2 linked regions of the Mus musculus genome follow. The protein of the gene in region 2 interacts with the protein of the main gene of each other region in a pairwise test. Links are inferred from orthologs where the notes say so. Each region holds a gene or a part of one and is shown on either strand. Other genes may lie near its edges. The genes, in order: Hid1 and Csde1.

Evidence for each region.
Region 1: the proteins of Csde1 (region 2) and Hid1 interact in binary tests that used the Homo sapiens proteins (3 or more experiments, as listed by UniProt). The two-hybrid records come from large-scale screens. The link is inferred for Mus musculus from reciprocal best matches to the Homo sapiens genes CSDE1 and HID1.

Annotation. Positions count from the first base shown.
Region 1 is NC_000077.6:115,360,025-115,372,158, forward strand, and holds the start of Hid1 (protein HID1), read right to left. Parts: upstream 7,733-12,134; 5' UTR 7,586-7,732; coding exon 7,520-7,585; intron 1,821-7,519; exon of another isoform or gene 1,765-1,820; coding exon 1,615-1,764; intron 469-1,614; coding exon 298-468; exon of another isoform or gene 1-297. UniProt on the Homo sapiens protein: May play an important role in the development of cancers in a broad range of tissues.
Region 2 is NC_000069.6:103,040,161-103,051,788, forward strand, and holds part of Csde1 (cold shock domain-containing protein E1), read left to right. Parts: intron 1-280; coding exon of another isoform or gene 281-373; intron 374-984; coding exon 985-1,082; intron 1,083-2,996; coding exon 2,997-3,078; intron 3,079-3,396; coding exon 3,397-3,525; intron 3,526-3,645; coding exon 3,646-3,771; intron 3,772-4,468; coding exon 4,469-4,681; intron 4,682-6,624; coding exon 6,625-6,765; intron 6,766-6,853; coding exon 6,854-7,018; intron 7,019-9,460; coding exon 9,461-9,568; intron 9,569-10,137; coding exon 10,138-10,313; intron 10,314-10,879; coding exon 10,880-10,992; intron 10,993-11,628. UniProt on the Homo sapiens protein: RNA-binding protein involved in translationally coupled mRNA turnover.

The sequences.
Region 1 (12,134 bases), on a different chromosome or scaffold from region 2:
CAGGGGTACTGGACATCTTGGGAATCATGAGGTCTCAACCCTTGGCACTTGACTGAAGATAAAGCCCTGAGTAGATGGGGCCTGGGAGAAGATAGTGTGGTCCTTCTAAAGACATAATGGGCCTATCCCTGCACCCCTGCTCTAGGCCCCTTGGGAGAGAAACCGAAGGCCTGAAAAGTTGGTACTGGCTCCTTCCCCCTCAGTGGTACCCTACCTCTAAGTCCCCATCCCTATACTTCCTAAAAACAGGTGGCCCTGCCAGGATCCTCCAACCCCCCCTTGGCCAGGCCCACAGACCCCTCCACGCCCTGCCCCGGGCACTGTGGACCAGAAGAAGCCCCTCCAGTCGGGGTCCTCGAAGATGTAAGGCAGCACTCGGGTGAGTAGCCGGCTGCAGTTCAGGACGACCTGTTTCTCCTTCTCAGAGTGGCAGCCACCCTCTGCTCCTTGCACCAGCTTCTCCACAGCCTGTGGGGACAGACAGCAAGGGAGGAAGGAGCATGTGAAGGAGCCCTTTGGGTTCAGGCCACCCAAGCTGGAGAGGTCAGCTAGCTCAGGAAGGTTGTGACCTGGGAAAAAAACAGCCCAGAGCATCAGGAGAGCAGAGGCCAGTCCACTGGATGGCCAAGACCTCATCTGTGGTACCCCTCTCATACAGAGTGTGTCCCCACACTTGGGTACAACTTACTTTCTTCTGAGAGCCTCTTTCTCTCCTAATCCTTCTGTTTAATACTATATTAAAGTGCCCTTTTTAAAGGTTAAAACAAGAGAAAAAGACCAGGGCTGGAAGAGTGGCTCTGCTGTTAAGAATACATTGTCTACCACATTTGGTAGCCCATATCTTTACTCCCAGCACTAGAAGCCAGAGACAGGTGGATCTCTATGAGATCAAGGCCAACCTGGTCTATATATTAAGTTCTAGGCATCCAGGGCCTCAACAAAATAAAACAAACAACAATAAAACCCAACTTGCTATCCTTGCCAAGGACCTAGAGTTCAACTCCCAGCACCTACGTGGTGTCTCACAACCACCCATAACTCTAGTTCAAGGGGGTCCAATGCCTTCTTTTGCTCTCCATGGTCATCAGGCATGTACACGGAACATATAGATACATGCATGCAAAGCACTCACACACATAAAATAAAATAAATTTAATTTAAAATTTATTTATTTATTTTTGGTTTTTCGAGACAGGGTTTCTCTGAATAGCGCTGGTTGTCCTGTAACTCACTCTGTAGACCAACCTGGCCTTGAACTCAGAAATCTCCCTGCCTCTGCCTCCCAAGTGCTGGGATTAAAGGAGTGTGCCACCACTACCCGGCAATTTTTTTTAAGACCTCGTTTGTAACAGAGAAACCTCTGTTTGGAGGCTGGAGCACCTCACAGGAAAAGCTAAGTGAGGTGGTGTCTGGAAAGATAAGTTAAAGCTCTGATAAATGGCGGCAGGGGCCATGGTTACTTTTTCCTCACCCCCACCAAGGAGAACTGGAGGCAAAGAGGCTAGACCTCTAGAACCTGTGGGTGAGATGTGAGTACTTTGTTCTGCGTGGACTAGGCCATTCGGCCTCTCTGGGAAGGATGGGGACAGCTGTGAGGAGCCAGACAGCTCATACCTTGTAGCACAGCGTGGCCAGGTTAGAGGGTGACTCCTCTCGCACAGCCCGGATCTCTGCTGCCGGCACCAACGCAAAGACATCCTGCACCGAGGTAGCGGTGTCTGCCCAGAACTGGTCCCAGAAAGCATTGTCGGTGGCTTCCACGGGCTACAGGGGGATCCAGTATCCAGAGTTACACCTTTCCCAACAGTCACAGATGAGCCCTGGCAGGGAGGCCACCGTGGTTATCCTCCATCCCAGCCAGCGCCCAGGAGCCTCCCCATCTGGAACGACCTTATTCAGCTGCCACAAGATAGGTGTGTATGGGCGAGGGTCCACTAGGTTCTAAAGTTCACTGTGTCACCGAGGGTTTGTGTGTCTCTGGCTAAGTGCACACATTTCTCTAAAAGAGGAGCTGACATCATCACCAGATCACATCCCACGGCCACACCAGTAGGTCAAGTGTCTAGGAACTAGACCAAGGCTCTCCCCCAAAGGGCATACGCACCCCATTCACAGTCACCGGTGCTGTCTTCTCACAAGCAACCCTTTCTCAGCACAGCCACCAGTGCCAGACCCACCAACCTCCACACGATCCTCTCAGCACCCGCTGCTGGCCCATGCTGCAGCTCCAGTCACTTTCAGGGAGCCCCAGCCTCCAAATCACCCCCCCCACTTCAGTGCCTCCACCCCATGCAATAGCCAAAGCCACAGAGCCTTCATCTAAAAGCCCCCGGGGACCCCCACTGCCTGCTGGACCAAGTCAAGACATCAGCTCAACACTCATCCAAGATCTTAAACAGGCCTTGAGGCTGGGCTGTAGTTCAGTTGATAGAGCACTTGCACAAAGCCCCGGAGGGGATCTCGAGCACTGGGTACATTAGGACTGGAGGTGAGGGCCTGTAATCCCAGCACTTGGGAAGATCAGAAGTACAAGGTCACCCGCAACTACACAGTGAGTGAGTTCAAGGACAGCCTGGGATTCAACAGATCTCATCTCAACAACAACACACACACACACACACACACACACACACACACACTCCTGTATTTACTACTCCTAGACATGACCCCAGTAAATTTCTTTTGTTTTGCCCAGGCTGTATATTTCCCACTATACTCTTCTCATTTCAGCAATAATTACATTGGGCTTGAGATATGGCTCAGTTAGTAGAGGGGCTTGCCACCAAGCCTGATGACCTGAGTATCAAACTCAGGATCTGCTCATCGGAAGGAGTAAACCAACTCCCACAAGTTGTCCACTTCAAGCCAATATAAACCTCCCTCCTATACATACAAGCACACACACACACACACACACACATCCTAACAAAGATGGTTTTTTATTTGTTTTTTAATTTTAACAGGCTGAGTGTAGTGGCATACACCTTTAATCCCAACACTTGGCGGGCAGAGGCAGGTGGATCTTTCTGAGTTTGAGGCCTGCCTGGTCTACAGAGTGAGTTCCAGGACAGGCAGAGTTACATAGTAAGTGCCTGTCTCAAAACTTAGGAACTAACGTAAGAAACAAAGTTCCAAAGGTCCTATTGAGACAAGCCTTTAAAATACATGTGGTCATGGGAACTAGAGAGCGGGCTCAGAGGTGAAGAGTTTATGTGGGAGCTAGAGAGATGGCTCAGAGGTTAAGAGTGTATGCTGCTCTTCCAGGAGATTCAGGTTTGGTTCTCTGTAATTCCAGGGGTCTGACGCCCACTTCTGGCCTCTATAGGCACATGCCCACTTGTGGCATACATACAAAGAAATACACATAAATAAAAATGAAAAATTAAAATACATACTTATGGTCCTTGAGAGATAGACAATCATACAGGCAAATAACCAAGGCAACCATTTTCCATGATAAATTTTACTTCTAGAATTCTCCGCTGGGATGGATAGTTTGATGTCAATTTGATGCAGGCTGGGGTCATTTGCGAAGAGGGAACCTCAATTAAGAAAATGCCTCCAGCTGGGCGGTGGTGGCGCTCGCCTTTAATCCCGGCTCTTGGGAGGCAGAGGCAGGTGGAGCTCCGAGTTTGAGGCTAGCCTGCACTACATAGTCACTTCCAAGATAGCCAGGGCTACACAGAGAAACCCTGTCTCAATCAATCAATCAATCAATCAATGTGCCTCCATAAGATCCAGCTGTGAGGCATTTTCTTAATTAGTAATTGACGGGGAGGGCCCAGCCTAGTGTGGATGGAGTCATCCCTGAGCTGGTGGTCCTGAGTTCTATAAGAAAGCAGGCTGAGCAAGCCATGGGGAGCAGGTCAGTAAGCAGCCCCCTCCATGGCCTCTACACCAGCTGCTGCCTCCAGGTTCCTGCCCTGTTGGAGTTCCTGCCCTGACCCCAAGTTGCTTTGGTCAGGGTGTACCATTACACCACACAGGCATGCTCTCCTTTGGGAACCTCCAGCCCCAACTTCTACACCCCACATTCCTGACTCAGGTCTAGATCCACTCACCTCACAGCCCAGCAGCCCAGCATTGGCCCTGCTCTCAAAGCTGAGGCAGATGAAGCTGAGGTCCTGACAAGGCTGAGTGCCAGGGGGCTGCCCAAACCCAAGGCTGGGGCTGCAGGCTTCACCAAAGTGCCCACCCTCCACCCCATTCTGGGGAGCCCCAGGATAACTTGTGGCTGCACCCTCAGTCCCAGAACTGGTAGAGCAAGTCAGCCAAAGGTAAACAAAGGCTAAAGGAGAGGCCCTGGAGCTGGGGTTTGCTGGACCTCAGCCTCACCAGTCCTGGTGGCCTGGAGCCAGAACGCAGTGGGAAAGGACATTTCAGAGGAAAGGCCTGTGGAGATCCTCCTCATCAGGAGCACCTCTGAAAGCCTCTAATACTCAGCTCACCTCTCAGGGAGTCAGCATCCCTTAAAGGGGCCGAAGCCCCCGCTGAATACAAATGGAGCTGACCACTGACCTAGTTCATTAGACAACCATCACCTCGGAACTGAAATCCAAACGAGACATAAGAGGGCCTTAGAGGTCTAACCTAGAAGCAGAGGGGGGAAAAAACCTTCATAAACAAGCATTTATCTTTCTATCTACCCCCACCTTTTTCATGTAGCCGGGGCTAGCCTGTAGTCACTCTCATTATGGAGACTGAACATAGGACCTCATGATTGTTAGCCTCAGCTTGCACTTCCTCCCCTGATCCCACTGGGTCTTAGGCATTTGCATTGGCTGAGGGACCAGCTGTAGCTTTAACATTTTTTTTACTTTATTTTTTATTTATGTGCATATGTGTCTCTCTCTGCGTGTACACATACATGAGGCTGCCCCTAGAGGCCAGAAGGTGTTGGATCTCCCCAGAGCTCACAGGTAGTTGTGAGCCACCCCAACGTGGGTGCTGTGAACCAAACTCTTCATCTGAAAGAGTAGCTGGAGCCCTCTTAACCACTGAACCATCTCTCCAGCCCCAAGCTGGGGTTGTCACAGTCTCCTTCTAGGGTGGGAGTGGTAAGGGGTAAAACCAGCATTGAGCTAGCCCAATAAGGACGATATGTCCTGACAGGTGATCAAAGTATTATTCTAGGCTCACACACATGCATGCGTGTGAACACACACCTATCAGCTCTTACCCTAGCCTGCAGCAGAGCATCCTCAATGAACAGAATCTGGGGGAGAGTCTCTGATCCTGTAGTGCCCCACTCTGGGGCCCCAGCCAAGTGAGGAAAGAGTCAAGAATGTGGCTGGTCTCAGAGTTAGGGTTAAGCCCTGCCCAGGGCTGGCTAATAGGGCAGGAAGAAAACAGGATGCAGGGCAGGAAGGCAGGGAAGGCTGACCTGCAAGAGCTCAGACCCAGGCTACAGTAAGGTCCACTTGTCTACTGCTCAAAGCACAGCCTCGGAGGGCTTAGAAGTGAGGTCATCCTGTGGCCATCACATCTGCAGCCCCTTGGGGATACTGAGTTCGAAGGTCCAGGAAGACCTTTTCGGACCAGATTCTTGAATCCCAGCTGCTCAAAGCTGATCACTAGAGTCCAAGGCTTTGGCCCCCACCCACTTGTGAGAGTCCCATGCTTATGAGAAGGCCCACAGGCTAGTGAATGGCTCAGCAGTAAAGGCACTTGGTAAAAATGCTTGGTAAACATAATTTGTGCTTGCTGCCAAGCCTAACCTAAGTTCCATCCCTAGGGCCCACATAGTGGAAGAAGAGAACTGACTCCCATTGTTGTCCTCTGACCTTCATGTATATACATGATACACATGTATACACACACACACACACCAAAAATAATAATAATATAAACTGAAAAGAAGGAGACAGATGGGAGAGGAAGAAGAGAGATAAGAGAAGGGGGAGGAGGAAGAGGAAGATGGGGGAGGAAGAAGGGGAGTAGTCCACACTGGGTCTCCAATCTATTCTAGACCCTGATCCAAGCAACTGTCTTCATCTGAGAACAGACTATCTCAACCAGGTACAAACCTACTGATGTAGTATTCAGGGGGAGGGTTCCTAAGCAGGTCACTGCCCACCTTTCTAGAGCTGGTTTAATCCTGCTGCTAAAGGACCTGCTCAGCCCACCAAACCATCTTCCAGCAAGCCAGCCCCTCCCCAGGCAGGGCAAACATGGGAGACGCTCCCCCAGCTCTCACCACCCTACACTGTGCAAAATACCACACACCACCCTTTCCTGCTACCCACTGATGGAGAGTCTCACGTCTGAGGTTCTGGAACAAGCCACAGGAAGCAAAGAGAAGCAGTTCTGGTTTCCGCCAAGTGCCCCTCAGATAGAAACAGGCTCTCTAGAGGCCCTGGCATTCCTTTCCTCGGCCTCTGACCTTCCCAAGGTGGGTAACAGGGTGTGGGAGTAGTGGTCGGCTCTCTGAGGCTGTGACTGGCTGGTTGTGGGTAGGCAGCTCTCCTGATCCCACTCACACTGGCCAAGAACAATATAGAGCTCTGAGAACAGTCGGATGGGGGTGGGGTTCCAGATGGCAGTAGGTCCAGAGCCCTTTGACAGGCAGGGCCTTGGAGAGGCTGCTGGTATCTCCATAACCAGAGTAGCCTGGTTTCCAGAAATAAAGATTGAAGGGACGACAGGGAAGGAACCTTGCTGGGTCAAGAGGTGTGTGCTGAAGGTAGGAGGCAGCTTCTGTGACACTTGTAGACACGGGGGATGGGGGGGGGGAGTGTGGACTGGAGTTACCCATGGCTCCCTCTCCAACAGACCAATGATAATCTCCTCATCCCCGAAACCCCAATCCCTATTCCGGGTGCCAAAAAGCACAGCCAATCAGCTCCACCGGGCCTGGAGAAGCCCCTGGATCATCACTAGCTGGAAAGCTGGCTTCCCTAGGCCTGAGGACAGCTCCTCTTACCCAGCTGCCGCTGCCTGCCACTCTATGAGCTCCCAGGAAGACCTGGGCCTTCCCTACCCTCAGGCATCAGCCAGGGCCCAGAGAGGCCACCGCTGCCACCGCTGCCATCGCGCACCAGCTGTTTTCCCCAACCCAGGCAGGCGCCGGCCCGGCTTTGTTTGCATTGAGTCAGCCGGGGCTGTATGTCCGGGACCATGGGCACTGAGGGGCAGGGAGACCAGCGGGGCGATGGATGGGTAGGTGGGAGCGGGAAGAGGCTGGCTAAGCGAGGCTGCGGGCACCGGGGGGGCGGGACAGGGGGCGGATAACGTTGTCGCCGCCGGCTCCAGGAGTAGGCACACGTCAGCCTAAGGTGGCAGCAGCAGCAGTGCCCGGGAGAGTGTTCCCAGGGGAGAGTAGGCATAGGGTGGGCTCCCAGAGGCAGGGATGGAGCCCTAGTTACAAAGGAAAAGTCCCGTTCCGGTGCTTGTTTCAGCATCCCCCTCTGGATTAGCCGGTCACCCCACCCTCGGGTGAACCGTGTTCACCCAGCCCCCCCGGCCCTGCCCTGCCCCCAGGGCCGGCAGGTGGATGAAGAGGCTGGGCCCCCAGGCGCACCTGCGTCTTGGTGGTCAGCTGGATCACCGCCTTCCGGAAGTTCAGCTTGGAGTCTGCGGATCCCATGTCGATGGACCCCGCTCCAGCCCGACCCCGGATTCCGACTCTGCCGCGGGCTCCGGCTGTGACTCCAGCTCCAGCTCCGCAGCCCCGGCTGCTCTCTGGGGAGCGAAGCTGCGAACCCCGCCTGCCGCAGGCGTCGGCCCCGCCCCTGTGGCTCCGCCTTTAGATCCGCCCCCACGAGGCCCCGCCTCTGCACCTGCCGCTCAGGCCTCCAAGAAGAAGTCCGGAGTTCTCCGTGGAACCCAACTCCTGGTCCTTTCGTCTGCAACTGAGTGTTGTCCTCGATCCTCAGTCCGCAAGACTGAAACCCTCCTGGTATCTCATCTCCTGCCTCCACCTTCATTCTTCATTCCTGCTCAGACCCGCAGTTTCTCCTCCAATCCTCTCTACCTGATGTTCATGCTTTCCTACTATTGTTGCTATCTGAGCTTGCTTGCTTTTTCTCTTTTCTTTTCTTTTCTTTTCTTTTCTTTTCTTTTCTTTTCTTTTCTTTTCTTTTCTTTTCTTTTCTTTTCTTTTCTTTTCTTTCCTTTCCTTTCCTTTCCTTTCCTTTCCTTTTCTTTTCTTTTCCTTTCCTTTCCTTTCTTTTCTTTTCTTTTTCTCCTCTCCTCTCCTCTCCTCTCCTCCCCTCCCCTCCCCTCCTCTCCTCTCCTTTCTTTCTTCCTCCCTTCCTTTCTTTCTGTTTGCTTCTCTTTCTGACCTATCAAATCCACGTGTCTAGCCTTGAAGTTATTCTAACCCTTAAAAGGTTTAGCTCTTGCTTGTGTGGAAGGATGGGCTGACTCAGTGTCCCTGTTCCAGGAAGGCAGCTCAGCAGTGAAAAATCCCTTGGGTCTTGACGCTTATCTAGCTCCCTGGCTTCCCTGAGAACTCTTTGAAGTGTAGAGGACATGACATAAACATCACAGATCCTGGTTTCAGAAGAAAGGAGTTTACCCATGGTATAGCCTAGTACACTGTGTTTGTTTTGTGAGGAGTTTATCGTAGGCTTGCCTCGAACTCACTGTTACTGGTGATGAATTTTTTAATCCATCTCCCAAGTACCAAGGTCACAGGTTCCATGATCACCCTTGGTATTATGGGGTGCTGTAGATTGAACCAAGAGGTTCTTGGATGTTAGGCAAGCACTCTAATTATTAAATTAAGAGTAATAGCTGACAACCCAATAAAAATAGTTGATCCACATATGAGATCTCAGAACTCAGGAGGTGAAGGCAAGAGGGACTGTCATCCTTGGTGAATAGTGAGTTTGAGACCAGCATTGGCAAAATCCAAAATAATCTGGTATTTATCTAATATATATATATCTCATAGCAAGCCAGGACAGCAGGACAGCCAGGGCCATGTATGATGTATGTGTCCCACCCCTCACACAATCATGTTACTGTGTCTAGAAGTTTCTGAGAATCCTGGATAGTTCTAAACAACATGACTTTAATCTAAAGGGGGATCCCGGAGTTGTAAAATAAGGAGTATGCTCCATCAAGGCAGCTGGATCAGGTGTAGAGGTAGAGAGAGAGGGCATGGTCTCACTACCTCACAGAACAAGCCACAGCATTGGGTAGCTCTAGCTTTTCTCTAAAGGTATGTTGTCCCTACAAAATTCTGGGTGTGCCCCCAGGGCTTTTTTTTTTGTAATCACTCTGAGATAATGAATGGTTTCTTTATTCAGTTTAAAAAAAAAAAAAAAAGCATAGCACCAAGCCAAGTATGCTAACACAGGCCTTTAATTCTAGCACACAAGAGGGAGAGGCAGGCAGGTCTCTTTGAGTTCAAAACCAGCCTGTTCTACATAGCTGGTTCCAGGCCAGTCAGAGCTACACAGCAAGACCCCATCTCAAACAAATAATACCTGAGAATCTGTGGACCAGCACTTGGCACCAACACCACTGACCTGTGGGCTTTCAAGAGAGTCCCAGTGAGACTATCAAATTCCAATCTTCAGCTTGCCTAAGATAACAGAAATTAATCTGCCTCTGGCTTAGTTGGTTGGTGGATCAGGTATTAGCTGAATATAAAGTTTTCTTGTTTCTTTGCTTATTTGCAGACAGGATCTCCTGTGGCCCAGGCTGACCTGGAACTCTTTATGTACCTGAGATTGGCCTTGAATTTCTGATCTTCCTGTTTCCACCTCCTCAGTGTTGCAATTACAGTTATACACTGCCCCCCTCCTGGCTATAATATACTATATTATCATTTATAGACATTCGGGGAACGGTGGAGCCGTGGGAGCAGAAAGCAAGCCAGCAGTTGCTGGGAGCCAGAGGTGGGAAGGGTGGACTGAGAAAGATAAGGAGGGAACTTAGTGGGGCAATGAAAACTTTCTGTTTGATTTTTCTCATAACAATAGGCCTCAAGGGAGTGAGCTTTACTGTATATAAACTGCACCTCAATAAACTGGACTTTTAAAATGAAGGCCAAGGAACATGGGGAGCTGCTTAGCTGACAGATTGCCTGCTTAGCATGCAGGAGATGCCGGGTTCCGTCCCCAGCCCTACAAAAATAAAGAAAAATAAAAGCTGTAAGCGGCAAAGAAACTAACTCAGGAAACCAGTCTCTCTACGACTGTATACATGTAAACATTTTCATAGTAAACACTTTCAGAAAACAATCTGTCTGCATAAAGGCACCATCAGTAAATAAAATTGGACCTCTGAACACGTAGAGAAATTACTCTTTTCTTATCAATGTGACAATCTTCTGGAAGGTTCTTGGCTATGGGAAAGCATGTCATGTCCTTGTTTTGTGGCCAGAATAAAAGACTCACTGGTCAGTGGCTCCTGTGGCCCTCTCCGGAGTCCTTTCTCTAAATTCAACCATCATTCATCCGGCAGACATTGACTCAGATCCTATTAAGTGCCGGGTACCATTGAAGGAGGCAAGGGCCTAAGCTGTACATGTCTCTACTGCCAATAAATCAAGACATTGAGAGCTATGACGTTGAAAGTCAATCTCTACTCAGGGCCCTGGTAGAGCTAGATAAGAAAGAAAGTGGCTGAGGAGGAGAGTCTAGGCTGAAGCTTGGAAGGTGACTGAGAATGTTAGACAGGCTGGAAACAGATGGAGGAGGGATTACTCGAGAGAGGTTTCTCACAGGGAAGCGCTATGGGGTCGGAACAGGTTACTGAGACCATTAAGGGGCAAAGGAAGGAATAGCTGCCAGTGCCCAGGGAGAGGGAGCCCACCAGAGAAGAACCCCCAGCCTGGGCTGTAGTCTCCACAAAGAAAAGGAAAGTTGGAATGAACACCCCACTTTACTCCTGCCTTGCTTCCTGCTAATCAGGTGAACCCACTGAAAGCAGAAGATTGAGAAAAGCCGGTGACAGAGTTTCGGGAAAGCTCGGCCATGGAATATGAATGAAACAGAAGGAAATCTACACAGACAAGTGGAAAATTTTCAGCTTCCAGCCATTAGGGAGAGCAAGCCGCAGAAAGGCCTGGAGCTTAGAGAGACTCATGTCCAGAGACCTGGTTGGAGGGAGACTTCGATGGGAGATAACACTTGAGATAGCCCAGGAGCCGACCCTAGAGGACTACATACAAACTAATAAACTCTAATTGTATGGCACAACCACTAAAAAGGCCTTTGAAGTGGAGAAATGACGTCATCAGATGACATTAGGTCTTAACAAATTGTCCTGGCTGATGCAGGAGGGACAGAAACCTGAATACTGGGAGCAGGCAGGGAGATGGTGAGCGGGGGGAAGGGCTGAACCAAGGCAGCATCAAGGAGGGAAAACTTTTGGAATCCTGGAAGTTGGATGTCCACCAGATGGAGATTTTCGGAAGCATTTCACAGAACAACGTCCCCACCAAATGGCATAAAACAATGACCATTTCACTGTCTCTGACATTCCTGGGTCCGTGATTAATGGGGATGCAGCTGAGATGGCTGGTTTCTACTCCACACTGTCTGGGCCTCAGCTGGGGAGACTGGAAAGGCTGGGGAAGTGTTATCTTTGAACAGCTGAGGGACGGACGGAACCAGCTGGGAACTTCTTCATTCACACATGCTAAGCCCGAGAGAAGCCCTGAGACTGGGCTCAGCTGGGTCGGAAGACAAAATTCTGACTCCCGGGGGCTGAAGAGATGCCTCCATGGCTTAGAGTGCTTGCTGCTCTTCCAGAGGACCTGAGTTCAGTTCTAACCACCCATGTCCAGCAGCGCACACACACAACCTGTAACTTCAGCTCCAGGGGATCCAATACCCCTTTCTGGCCTACATACACAGTGTACACTCACACACAGGCGAATATACTCAGAAGTCAGGCCTGTCATCTGTTCTCCAAGAGGGAAAAAAAAAATATCTAAGTTTGGGATGATCTTTAACACCTAATCCTGCCTCCATCTCCCAAGTGCTAAGATTCCAGGCATGTTCCACCATGCCCAACCTTTGGCACCACATTTAAAAGTACCACATTGCTGTCAGTGTGGTGGCACACACCTTTAATCCCAGCAGTCAGGAGGCAGAGGTGGGTGGATCTCTGTGAATAATACAGGGCCAGCCTGGTCTACATAGCACATTCCAGTCCAACCAGGGCTACACAGACAC
Region 2 (11,628 bases):
AAGATAACTTTTAAGATTAGATCAGAAGCACTGGCATTTCTTGACCTGAACTAAAAACATGGTCAAGACTCAGTTTGGGTTTTACATATAACCCTGAGTCTTTACTTACAGTCAATTTGCATACTGTAAGTTTGAAACTTGGCAGCATGACATCCTCTTGTGGATCATATTAAAATGCATCCCTGTATATAGTATAGAGGATATTAGAACTCAGTTTATATTGCACAGTGCTGCTCCTGAAATGATTAGCAATGGAAATTTTTTTTTTTTTGACTGGTAGGTTGTGTGCGCTGTTCCTCACAACTTAGAGAGTAAATCTCCAGCTGCCCCGGGTCAGAGTCCAACAGGGAGTGTATGCTACGAACGTAATGGGGTAAACTTGTGTATTTTTCTTAAACCTTTGCCTGATCCATCATGTGATCTATAAGCGTACTTTAAAATTCAAAGTAGAAAACGTAAGCTAGTTGCTAAAATCACTTTTAAATTTGGTTTTATGAGGCTTCAAGTGCAGCATAATAAAATTATTTTTAAAGAAAAAAATCCATAGGACTTCCAAGTGTGTTAGCTTGCCCAAGTGTGACCTTAGTTAGAACATTAAGGTAAAATGCTCCTTTAAATCACTTTTTGGTGGGTTGTGGGGAAGGGGATTTATTTCTGGTTCCTTTTAAGCACTAACTCCAGTTTTTTTATTTGGAATGCCTTTTGTAAAGATTGTCTTTTTGAAATGTAACTACAGTCTCTGGGCAAATGCTTCCACGTGTGTAAGCTTTTTGAACTTGGATTGCTGCTCAGCTGTGGACTCAAAGAAGTCATCAGCACCATGGAGGGGAAGTGTGATTATGAATAAGACAACTTACTTGTTATACTGCATATAACTAAGAACTGTGGCTTTAAAATGCCAGTATAAGAAGTATTTGAGTAAGTGACATTGTACAGTGAATGTGCATCCTGTTGAGATAATAATAATAGCTGGTTAATTCACAGGAAGTATTTTATCTGACTTACACCTCTGAAGATGTGGAAGGGAATGTTCAGCTGGAAACTGGAGATAAAATTAACTTTGTAATTGATAACAATAAACAGTAAGTTCTCTTCAGTATTTTCCTAACCTAAATGATTCTTTTTTGGTTACATTAAAAAAATTTGAAGTGAGAGCCAGGTGTGGTGTTCTGTCCTGATAGTCCTAATACTTGAGAGGTAGAGACAGTATCATCAGGAGTTATAGACCAGGTTGTGTACACTGGGTCCTGTTTCAAATACCAAAAAGAAGGAAAGTTGGGGTGGGAGGAAAAATCTGAAATTATTTAAACACCTAACTGACAAATCTGGATACTTTTTATGACCCTTGAAGATTTTGTCCAGCAGCTTGAGACCTTAAAGGTCTGTGACTATTCTATAGGCAGGTATCAGAGTCTAAAGGTGACTAAAACATTGTCATTTTCAGGGAACTGCCTATTCAGTGAAGATCTTTATTAGGGACAAATATGTAAGATTAATTTTGAAAGAACAGTGAAAAGTCAGATAAGAAATGAGTAGTATGGTCAGAGAACTATCAGACATTTTGGAGAAAATGGCTAGAAGTTTGAGTTAGCTTTGTTGATTGGGCTGCAGGAACATGAGATGAGCTTTATTATACAATTCTTGCAAAACTTGGAGTAAGGTTAGAGTTGTGTAAGTGCTAAAGATAGCAGGCTCTTGAACAATAGGGATGCTCTAGACCAGGAGTGTGATGCAGTACTATAGAAAATAAAGGGTTTATATGGATCAGCCAAGATAGGAATCAAAGTTGTTGGAATACTGGAAAATGAAATTGGGTTATGGGTTTATATATTTTAGACCAAGGGTTTTAATTGAATATGAAGTAGAAAACCAAGGAATAGATAATGTAAGTTTCAGAAGGTAGCCACTCTATTTCACCTTTGCCAAAGATTTGTACTAAATAATTTTTTTACCTAGTATATTCTTATTTAATGGTTACTATGTAGACCAGACTGGCCTCCAACTCAGAGTGATTCTTGCCTCAGCTTCCTGAATGCTGAGATTAAAGACATGGACAACCTATCCATATAACATACATACACAGAGAGTGAGTTTGTGCACATGTGAACCTTGTTTGTACAGTGCCTTAGGAAGCCAAGAGAGGGCATCATATCCTCTTGAACTGGAGTTTACAGATGGCTGTTGACTACACCCACCATGGGTGCTAGGTATTGATCCCATGTTCTCTACAAGAACAGCAACCACTCTTGACTACTGAGCAGTTTCTTCAACACTTACACTTAGTCCTCAAAAAAGCAGTACCTCATTTGTCTGTCTGAATTTTTGATAGCTACTCTTCTCTAAACATGTTGAGCCCAGCAATAATTTTGTATCTTACATAGTTTACACTGTGCTTGAAATAAACTTGAGTTGAAAGCATGGCAAAGTCTCCTGTCTCTTAGAGGGCAGGAATAAGGAGGACAGTCTAGTCTGGTGAACACCTTTAATCCTAGCACTCAGGCAGTAGAGGCAGATGGATCTCTCTTGAGTTTGAGGCCAGCCTGGTCTACAGAGTTGAGTTCAGGACAAGCCATAGTTGCACAGAGAAACCCTGCCTCAAAAAAATAAAATAATAAGATAAATTAAGAGGATAGGTACTAAGTTTAGTACTTCCCAATAACAGATTTTTTATTGTTATCATCAGTTCCTTAGTTTATAAAGTGTAATACTCACCCTGCTGTGAAACCAGTGTTCTCCACCTTCTTTAGAAGGTATCTACTTTGGTAAAGTCAGGAATTTATGAAGAAGAAAAAAAAAATCCATGTATGAATTTTAAGTCTGAAAGATGGGGAGTTTGAACAAAGTTTTTATCCAGAGAAGATTGGGTATCATAAACCTTACATTTGTTCTTAATAATGAGAGAATTTTTAAGACCTAGGAAACTACTTTGTGATTATAGACTCAATAGTTTCTAACAACCCAGAGGATTTAACCTTCATTTTTCATTTCTTCTCTAGCACTGGTGCTGTAAGTGCTCGTAATATTATGCTGTTGAAAAAGAAGCAGGCTCGCTGTCAAGGAGTAGTTTGTGCCATGAAGGTAATAGTTAATAAACTTGAAATGTTTAGGTTTGCTGTTTGGTTTTTTAACTGCTTTTAAGCTTTGTACTACAAACCCAAACCACTTGCTTCTCCTGCCTCTGCTTTAAGACTATTTCCTTGTTAACTAAGTTCATAGAGCTTCTTGATTGCGAGTCTTTAGGTCAAGTCTTGGTAAGGTAGACTTTACAGAGTTGTACTCTTTGGCCTATAGTATAATTTTAAGATAAAGCTTACTGATTTTTTTTTAAGTTGTAATCATACATTTGTATATTGATTGGTAATTAATGATTTTGTATTTGGGGGCTTTTTGCTTTAGGAGGCGTTTGGCTTTATCGAAAGAGGTGATGTTGTAAAAGAGATATTCTTTCACTATAGTGAATTTAAAGGTGACCTAGAAACCCTACAGCCTGGAGATGACGTGGAATTCACAATCAAGGACAGAAATGTAAGATGGGTCATTCACTAACTCTAAATTATTGCCCTTTTTAAAGATTAGTAGTGGATTATATATTTAAGAAACGCTTAAAATTATGTGACCCCTGCCCACTTCAACCTCTTGATTTAGGGTAAAGAAGTTGCAACAGATGTCAGACTATTGCCTCAAGGAACAGTCATTTTTGAAGATATCAGCATTGAACATTTTGAAGGAACTGTAACCAAAGTTATCCCAAAAGTACCCAGTAAAAACCAGGTAAATTGTCTTTATCAGCAATGTCTTCTTCTGACCAATCAGTACAATATTATGATGATACACTAAAGGTGGAGTCTGTTTGATTGATGTAGTTGTGTGTAGTGGGGTGTATCTTTTAATAGGTATTTTAATTAAAAAAAAAAAAAAAACAAAAAACAAAATAGATGCTGATGGTGTGGTTCAGTGGCAGAGGGCTGACCTAGCATGCAAAAGGCCCCCAGTACTGCAGAAAGAAAAGAGACACTAATGAACGGTAGGTTGATGGGTATGTTTTTGCTTATTTGATTTTCACTGAGTGATTAAGATTAAAAGAAACTGTTACCTGAACTGGGGAAGGTCCTACTGAATTGGACTGCATGTGCTACTTCTCTGTTCCCCCGTCTTACCATTTGTTAACTGGTGGGAAGTAAGGTGAAAGGCATCATTGCTGGATAAATGTGAGATCCAAAGGGCTGAAATGTTTTTCCTTAGCAGTTCTTGATATCACAGTGCAGTGTTAACAACAGTGCTTGATTTATGGTTGTCATGGGACCTTAGATGATGAAGCTTTTATATTGGGCTTATATTGTCAGCACTTTTTTCCCCTTCAGGCTACTACTATATTATAAATAAGCTATTTACTGTGTGTTCTTCTTGTTTGACTTAGAGCTAAAAGGATGAGAAATCTCCAGCTAAAATCGTTTTTCCTTCTCATCAGAATGACCCATTGCCAGGACGAATCAAAGTTGACTTTGTGATTCCTAAAGAACTTCCCTTTGGAGACAAAGACACAAAATCCAAAGTGACCCTGCTGGAAGGTGACCATGTTAGGTTTAATATTTCAACAGACCGACGTGACAAATTGGAACGAGCAACCAACATAGAGGTTCTATCAAATACATTTCAGTTCACTAATGAAGCCAGAGAGATGGTAAGTGTTTAAGCATTGCTGGAATTTTATCTGACATTTAGGGTTCAGTGATGGACTCTGATTTACACTGTTGGCTGGGAACTTCTTAGGCTGATGACTAGTGAATAAAGGTGTCTGTTCCCAAGCCTGGTAGCCTGTGTCCTAGTCTGCACTGATGGAGAGGCCAAGAAGAACACACAGAGGCAAGTTGTTAGAGGATATTTCTTGTAAGCTAATGCCTGTTGGGAAGTCACTTTATTAAGTAGCTAAGAATCCTACATATTTGAATTAGTTTGGGCTTAGTTCTCTTAGCTATCTTGGAAAGACATATAAATTAATTTTAAATTAGAAAACCAGATAAGGGGATTGCTAATGAAATGTGAATAAGACATCAGGAAATATATTTTCTTAAGATTTCCTCTGTGATGTTTAGTAAACAGTAAGTTAAACAGCACTAAATTGATTTCACCGCTTTTATGGTAATAGTTTGCTTTTTTTAAAGTGAGTATATGTCTGAATAGTATGTACCTGATTTGCTACTCAGGTATGTCTTATAAACATTTTGTAGACTGACTTTTCTCAGGTATAGTTTGTATTTAGTGTTGTTTGGAATCATACTATCTGTAGCATGTCTCAGTGTTGGCAATAAAAACAGGTACCTTTTATTTTTTTGGTTTTTTTGAGACAGGGTTTCCCTGTATAGCCCTGGCTGACCTGGGACTCACTCTGTAGACCAGGCTGGCCTCGAACTCAGAAATCCACCTGCCTCTAACAGGTATATTTTTATAAGTTGTTTTTTGAGACACGGTTCCCCTGGAACTCTTAGGCCAGGTTGGCCTTAAACTCAAAAAATTTGCTTCTGCCTCTTGAATGCTGGTATTAAAGGTGTGCGCTACCATATTCCTGGTCCTCCTCCTCTTGTTATTCATTTGTTTTATGTGTATGAAAATTTTACTTTCATGTGTGTACCTGGTACCCACAGCGGCCAAAATTGGACATCAGATTCCCTGGAACTAGAGTTCATCATAGTTAGATGTGAATGCCTGGGATCACTCCTGAGTCCTCTGCAGAAACAAAACAACACAACAAAAAGACCCTCTTCCCAAGCAGAGTCTCTTTTCTCTCTTTATGGTATAAAGTATATATTTTGGTTACCATCAGAAGTTTGACAATGATTAAATTTAAAAATACTCAGGTCATATTCAAAGCTAGTAGTATCCATCTCTGCAGTAAATATGCAATGTGAATCTCATTGGATAAAAATCCATGAGTGCTTCTGAGTACTGGGAATACAGTGATCTCACAAACCTACATTTTCATAGGATAAAAGAAAACAAGGAAGAAGAAGAGACAGTAGAGTGCACTTTGCTTTTTTTATGTGACTAAAGTCACAAAAGCAGTAAAATATTGCTTTTATGATTTATTTATGAAGTATATCAGTAAATTTTTGAAATTCTTTTTTTTTTTTTTTTTTTTAAGATTTATTTATTTTTATTGTATATAAGTACACTGAGCTGTCTTCAGACACTCCAGAAGAGGGAGTCAGATCTCATTACAGATGATTGTGAGTCACCATGTGGTTGCTGGGATTTGAACTTCAGACCTTTGGAAGAGTAGTCGGGTGCTCTTACCCACTGAGCCATCTCACCAGCCCAATTTTTGAAATTCTTACGTTGTCATTTAGTTTATGTATTTGTGGTTCAATTCATAAGGCTTTATTTTTATAATATATATTTTCCAAGGAGTGGGACCTGGAAATTCTTTTTTTCGAGACATGGTTTCTCTGTGTAGCCTTGGCTGTCCTGGAACTTAGAAATTCGCCTGCCTCTGCCTCCCGCGTGCTGGGACTAAAGGTGTGCGCCACCACCGCCCGGCTTTGATGTTGTTCTTTTTTTTAAAAAACAAAAACAAAACAGAAAAACCTATATAACCAGTTAAAAATGTTAATTTGTGTTTTTATTCAGGGTGTGATTGCTGCCATGAGAGATGGTTTTGGTTTCATCAAGTGTGTGGATCGTGATGCTCGTATGTTCTTCCACTTCAGTGAGATTCTAGATGGGAACCAGCTCCACATTGCAGATGAAGTAGAGTTTACTGTGGTTCCTGTGAGTAGCTGTTGGGGAAAGTGTTAAGGGTTGGTATTCTGCTGTCTCCTTTGTAATTTTAATTTTGTTGATTTTGTTTAATTTGTAGGATATGCTCTCTGCCCAAAGAAATCATGCTATTAGGATTAAAAAACTTCCCAAGGGCACGGTTTCATTCCATTCCCATTCAGATCATCGTTTTCTGGGCACCGTAGAAAAAGAAGCCACTTTTTCCAATCCTAAAACTACAAGCCCAAATAAAGGCAAAGACAAGGCAAGTGTTAGGTGATCCAGATGGTTTGTATGTCTTTTATCTTTGCCTCCAGATTGCATTGTAGCTCATATAGTGAAGTATCGTCTCCTTTTTAAAAATTCTGTATACAGCAGTGTATTAGTCAGGGTTCTCTAGAGTCACAGAACTTATGGGTAATCTCTATATAGTAAAGGAATTTATTGATGCCTCACAGTCTACAATGCAACTCCCAACAATGGTCAGTAGCAGCTGTGAATGCTCAGTCCCACACGGCAAGCACTCGAAGGAGGGGGGGGTGGAGAGACTCGCGCACACTCTTGAGACCACTCGCCTTCCTTCTTCCAATGTCCTTATAATAGTCTCCAGCAGAAGGTGTAGCCCAGATTAAAGGTGTGTGCTACCACACCTTTAATCGAAGATGACCTTGAACTCGGAGATCTCCCTGTCTTAATCTGGGGTCCATAGCCACTAGGCCTCAAGATCCAGGTCAGAAACTTGTATCTCCCAGCCTCCAGATTAGGGTCACTGGTGAGCCTTCCAATTCTGGATTGTAGTTCATTCCAGATATAGTCAAGTTGACAACCAGGAATAGCCACTACAACCAGCCATGATGATAGTGGACTGTGATTCTAGCACTTGTAAGGTGCACAAAGGAAGATCAGGAGTTCAGTCATTCTCAACAAGTTAGAGTATTCGGACAAGCTTTGTTTTTATTTTAAAATATTTGTATGTAATAATAACATTTCTTAGCTTCATCATCTTTGACTTTTTGCAAGGGGGATGGATGTTTTAGCCAGTATCCTTGCTTCTTCCTCATTTGAGAACCACTTATCAAAAGCTCTTATCCATAAAGAGGTTAAAGCTTTCCAAATTTGATGCATTGCATTCACATATTTGTACTTCCGTTTACTAAAAAAGTCTGTTGCCTATGCAAAAGTCTTAAGTTGTGCGCTCATAAATAATACATTATGGGACTTGTACAGAATGATTATTATAAGATAGCAAGTTTTCTGTAGTACCAAAGGCATTGGGGTTGTTACTAAGCTATATTTGCCATAAAGGCCTAGATTAAAGGCCATGTAACCTTCCTCCTCCCAAACACATAAAACAAGTTTGAGAAGATGCTCTGGCAAAGTAAATAACTGGGAAGGTCTTGGAATGGTACTCTTAAGGTGTTGGCATTTAATATGTAGCAATAGAAAGGGCATTTCTGACAGAATAGAGGTCAACACGAGGGAAAGAAGGCAGGGAAGATTACTTTAGAAAACAGCAAGTAACCGGTTTGAAGAAGGTGGACTTTGGTTTTGATTGAGGGAGAAGAGCATCGATGATTGCTCTCTAAATTCAATAATGAACTTTTTGTGCAATACTTCAACATTTTCAGTTGGGTAATGGCATCAGTTATGGACTTAAGGAACAAAATTTTATCATTGTAACTCTAAACAGAGTAGACAATTTTAAGGTGCATGAGAGACTTACTGTAAAACAAATCTTTTAAAATTACCATAAAACAAAACAAAACAAAAAAGAAGTCTCAAAAAAAAATTACTACCAAGGGGCACTTGTGGTTTTGTACAAACTTCTAAGTAACTAGGGAGATGGTTTCACTAATACAAATTGCCTATCTGGTAAATTACTTAAGTTTAGTAAATTAGTGTATAAGTAATTATAAAGAATTTTAATTAAGACAAGTAACCTAGTTTTGATTATGTAATCGCAGTGAGGTGTAAGGGAAGAAGACAGATTGATGATGTGGACATTATCCCCATAGAAATGATGTTGAACCATAAAAATGTAGTGTATGTGGTTACTGGTACAGTGACATCACTTACTATCAGGTTGTATGTGAAATGTGTGTACAAAGTTTTCATCATTATTGTAGAAATACTGGTGTATTGTAATGTTTCTAGTGCTTTGATTTGTGCTAGTATTTCTTTCTCTTTTTAATTGGGGATTGAACCCAGAGCTTTGGACTTGGTAGACAAGGGCTCTGTCAGTGGGCTACAGCCCCAGCCCGATTTGTGCTAGTTTTTAAACCAAGTTAATTTCTCACACATTGATAATAGTGACTAAAAACACTGAAGTGCTCTGGGACAGTAAAGAGGATATTTTCAGCTGCTACTTTAAGAATATTAAAGAGTTTTCTTCATGAGAAAACTAAGCTTCATGCTCCACAAAATTTTCTCTTGGCTAGAAATGTCATTCTCAGCTTAATTTTCTGATAAAACTGAAAGGCTCAGTGATAGTAGATTGAGGCAACTCTGAGTGAAGGCAAGCATACCTTTTATTCATGCATTTTGTCTTGTGTTGTTTAGAGGGTCCTGGAATAAATTTCTGTGGCTCTGCCAATTCTTTGTGTTAAGGATTCCTAAGTTACTGTAATTATATATCTTCCTTCCCTTTTTCTGTTATCATTTGTTAGTGTTCTTGAGGATATTTAATTGTGTTTTATATTTTCTTTAGGAGGCAGAAGATGGCATTATAGCTTATGACGACTGTGGGGTGAAACTGACGATTGCTTTTCAAGCCAAGGATGTGGAAGGATCTACTTCTCCTCAAATAGGAGATAAGGCAAGATGGTTTTACTTACTTGAAGAAAGGTTAAAGGTTGTCTTGATTATATTTGCTAGAGGATGGTTTAAATTTTGCTAAGTTTGGCTGCAGCATTTTTTCACTGGAAAGATGAAATACATAATAAAACAGGGTCTTGTAGCTTATGAAACATACTGAATGATAGGTTTTTAGGTTTGAGTTCTTTTTAGAGATGAGTGTGTGGCATACTTGTAATTCTAGCAGTTAGTAGGTAAGTGCCACAACCACTAGATACAGTCAGACAAGTAAGCTAAAAGTACTCACTAAAATAAAACCAGTATAAAATTACACCAAAAATTTACATTGCCTACTTTTTAGACAGCCTCTCTATAGAAATTAAAACTACAAAGTGTACATTGACAGGCAAAACTTAAATCATTTATGAATTGAGACAGCAAGTGCTTTCTGTAAATTTTTCTGTCAGAGTAATTACAAAATAGATCTGGAGTGAAAAGCTTGGTCTGGGGGATGTTTTGGGTCAGCTTCTTAAAGGTACAGAGCTTGTGGAAATGACAATGATACTAACTATCATCCTCATCGTTTTGTAGGTTGAATTTAGTATTAGTGACAAACAGAGGCCTGGACAGCAGATTGCAACTTGCGTGAGACTTTTAGGTCGTAATTCTAACTCCAAACGTCTCTTGGGTTATGTGGCAACTCTGAAAGATAATTTTGGATTTATAGAAACAGCTAATCATGATAAGGAAATATTTTTCCACTATAGGTAAGGAATGCCTTTTGGGCAGCAAACTATTCCTATTATATTCTTTTATATTAACGTTTCAAAGAATTTAATATAGGTTGATACTTTTTGGTAATTACAATTTTTGAGACCCAGCTTTTCTATTTGTAATTATGGCAAGTTACATACAGGAGTTAGGCATCTGCCATAAACATAGAAATGCATTTACCTGCCTTTACATATTTTTATTATACATATTGGTACTGGTGTGATAATACAGTTATAGCATATAGTAAAAAATACGGGTTCATTGAACCAAAACTAAGTATTTTAATTTTGATCTAGGTTCTCCCACTTAATATGTTACTTTCATCAGATTGTAACTTTTTGATTTCTTTACCTTCAAGCTAGAAATAGTGGTAGCTCAGTTTATAGGTTCTTGATTGGGGGGGGGTTGTTTTAAGGATTTAATGAATCCGTACCTTAAAACAGTATCTTAATATATGCAGACCTCCCATGGATGTTGGAAGGAGAAAAGGCTCCATGCTACTATTGATATTAGTGATAGTGGCTTATTTTAATGTCACTTTATTATCTTTTCCCTTTAGTGAGTTCTCTGGTGATGTTGATAGCCTGGAACTGGGAGACATGGTTGAATACAGCTTGTCCAAAGGCAAAGGCAATAAAGTCAGTGCTGAGAAAGTAAACAAAGCCCACTCAGGTAATGAGTCATGACTCCTATTCATCCTATGCTTTGACGGCAGGATACAGGGTCGGGAGAAGGATAAGGCCATACATGTTCTGTAACATTTGCTCTCAGGTACCCAGAGCAGCAGTATATATACCTTCACTGTTTGTCAATTATTCATGTTCTTGACACTACCAAATTCTGGGCATGACAGTTTGTGCATGATTTTAGTAACATTTCAGAGATAACATTTTGAATTTGGAGGATGTGGCAGTTTATTAAGAGTCACTATATAAAACCTTAGCTTTCTTGGAACTGGCTGTGTTGATCAGGCTGACCTCAAACTTGGAAGAAATTACTGGTTCTGCCTTCCAAGTGTGTGTGTGTGCCGTCGTGCCTGGCTGGCATCTGATCTGGGGTGCAGTGGAGTTAGGGATTATGCATCTCCAGTAATTAAAGCCCGTCCTGCTTTCTTTTAATCCGAGAAATATACATTCTACATAGAAATAATTCTTAATGGAGTTACAGAAATAGGCATTCTCCTGGTAGAGCTATAGATCTACAATGTGAAAAGTGAAGACAACTTTAACTTCAGAGCTTCTGCTTTTCGGGGAATGGGCCTCTGTGTTTTGGGGGTGGAGCTCAGGGTCCAGCAAGTGCAGCTTTGGC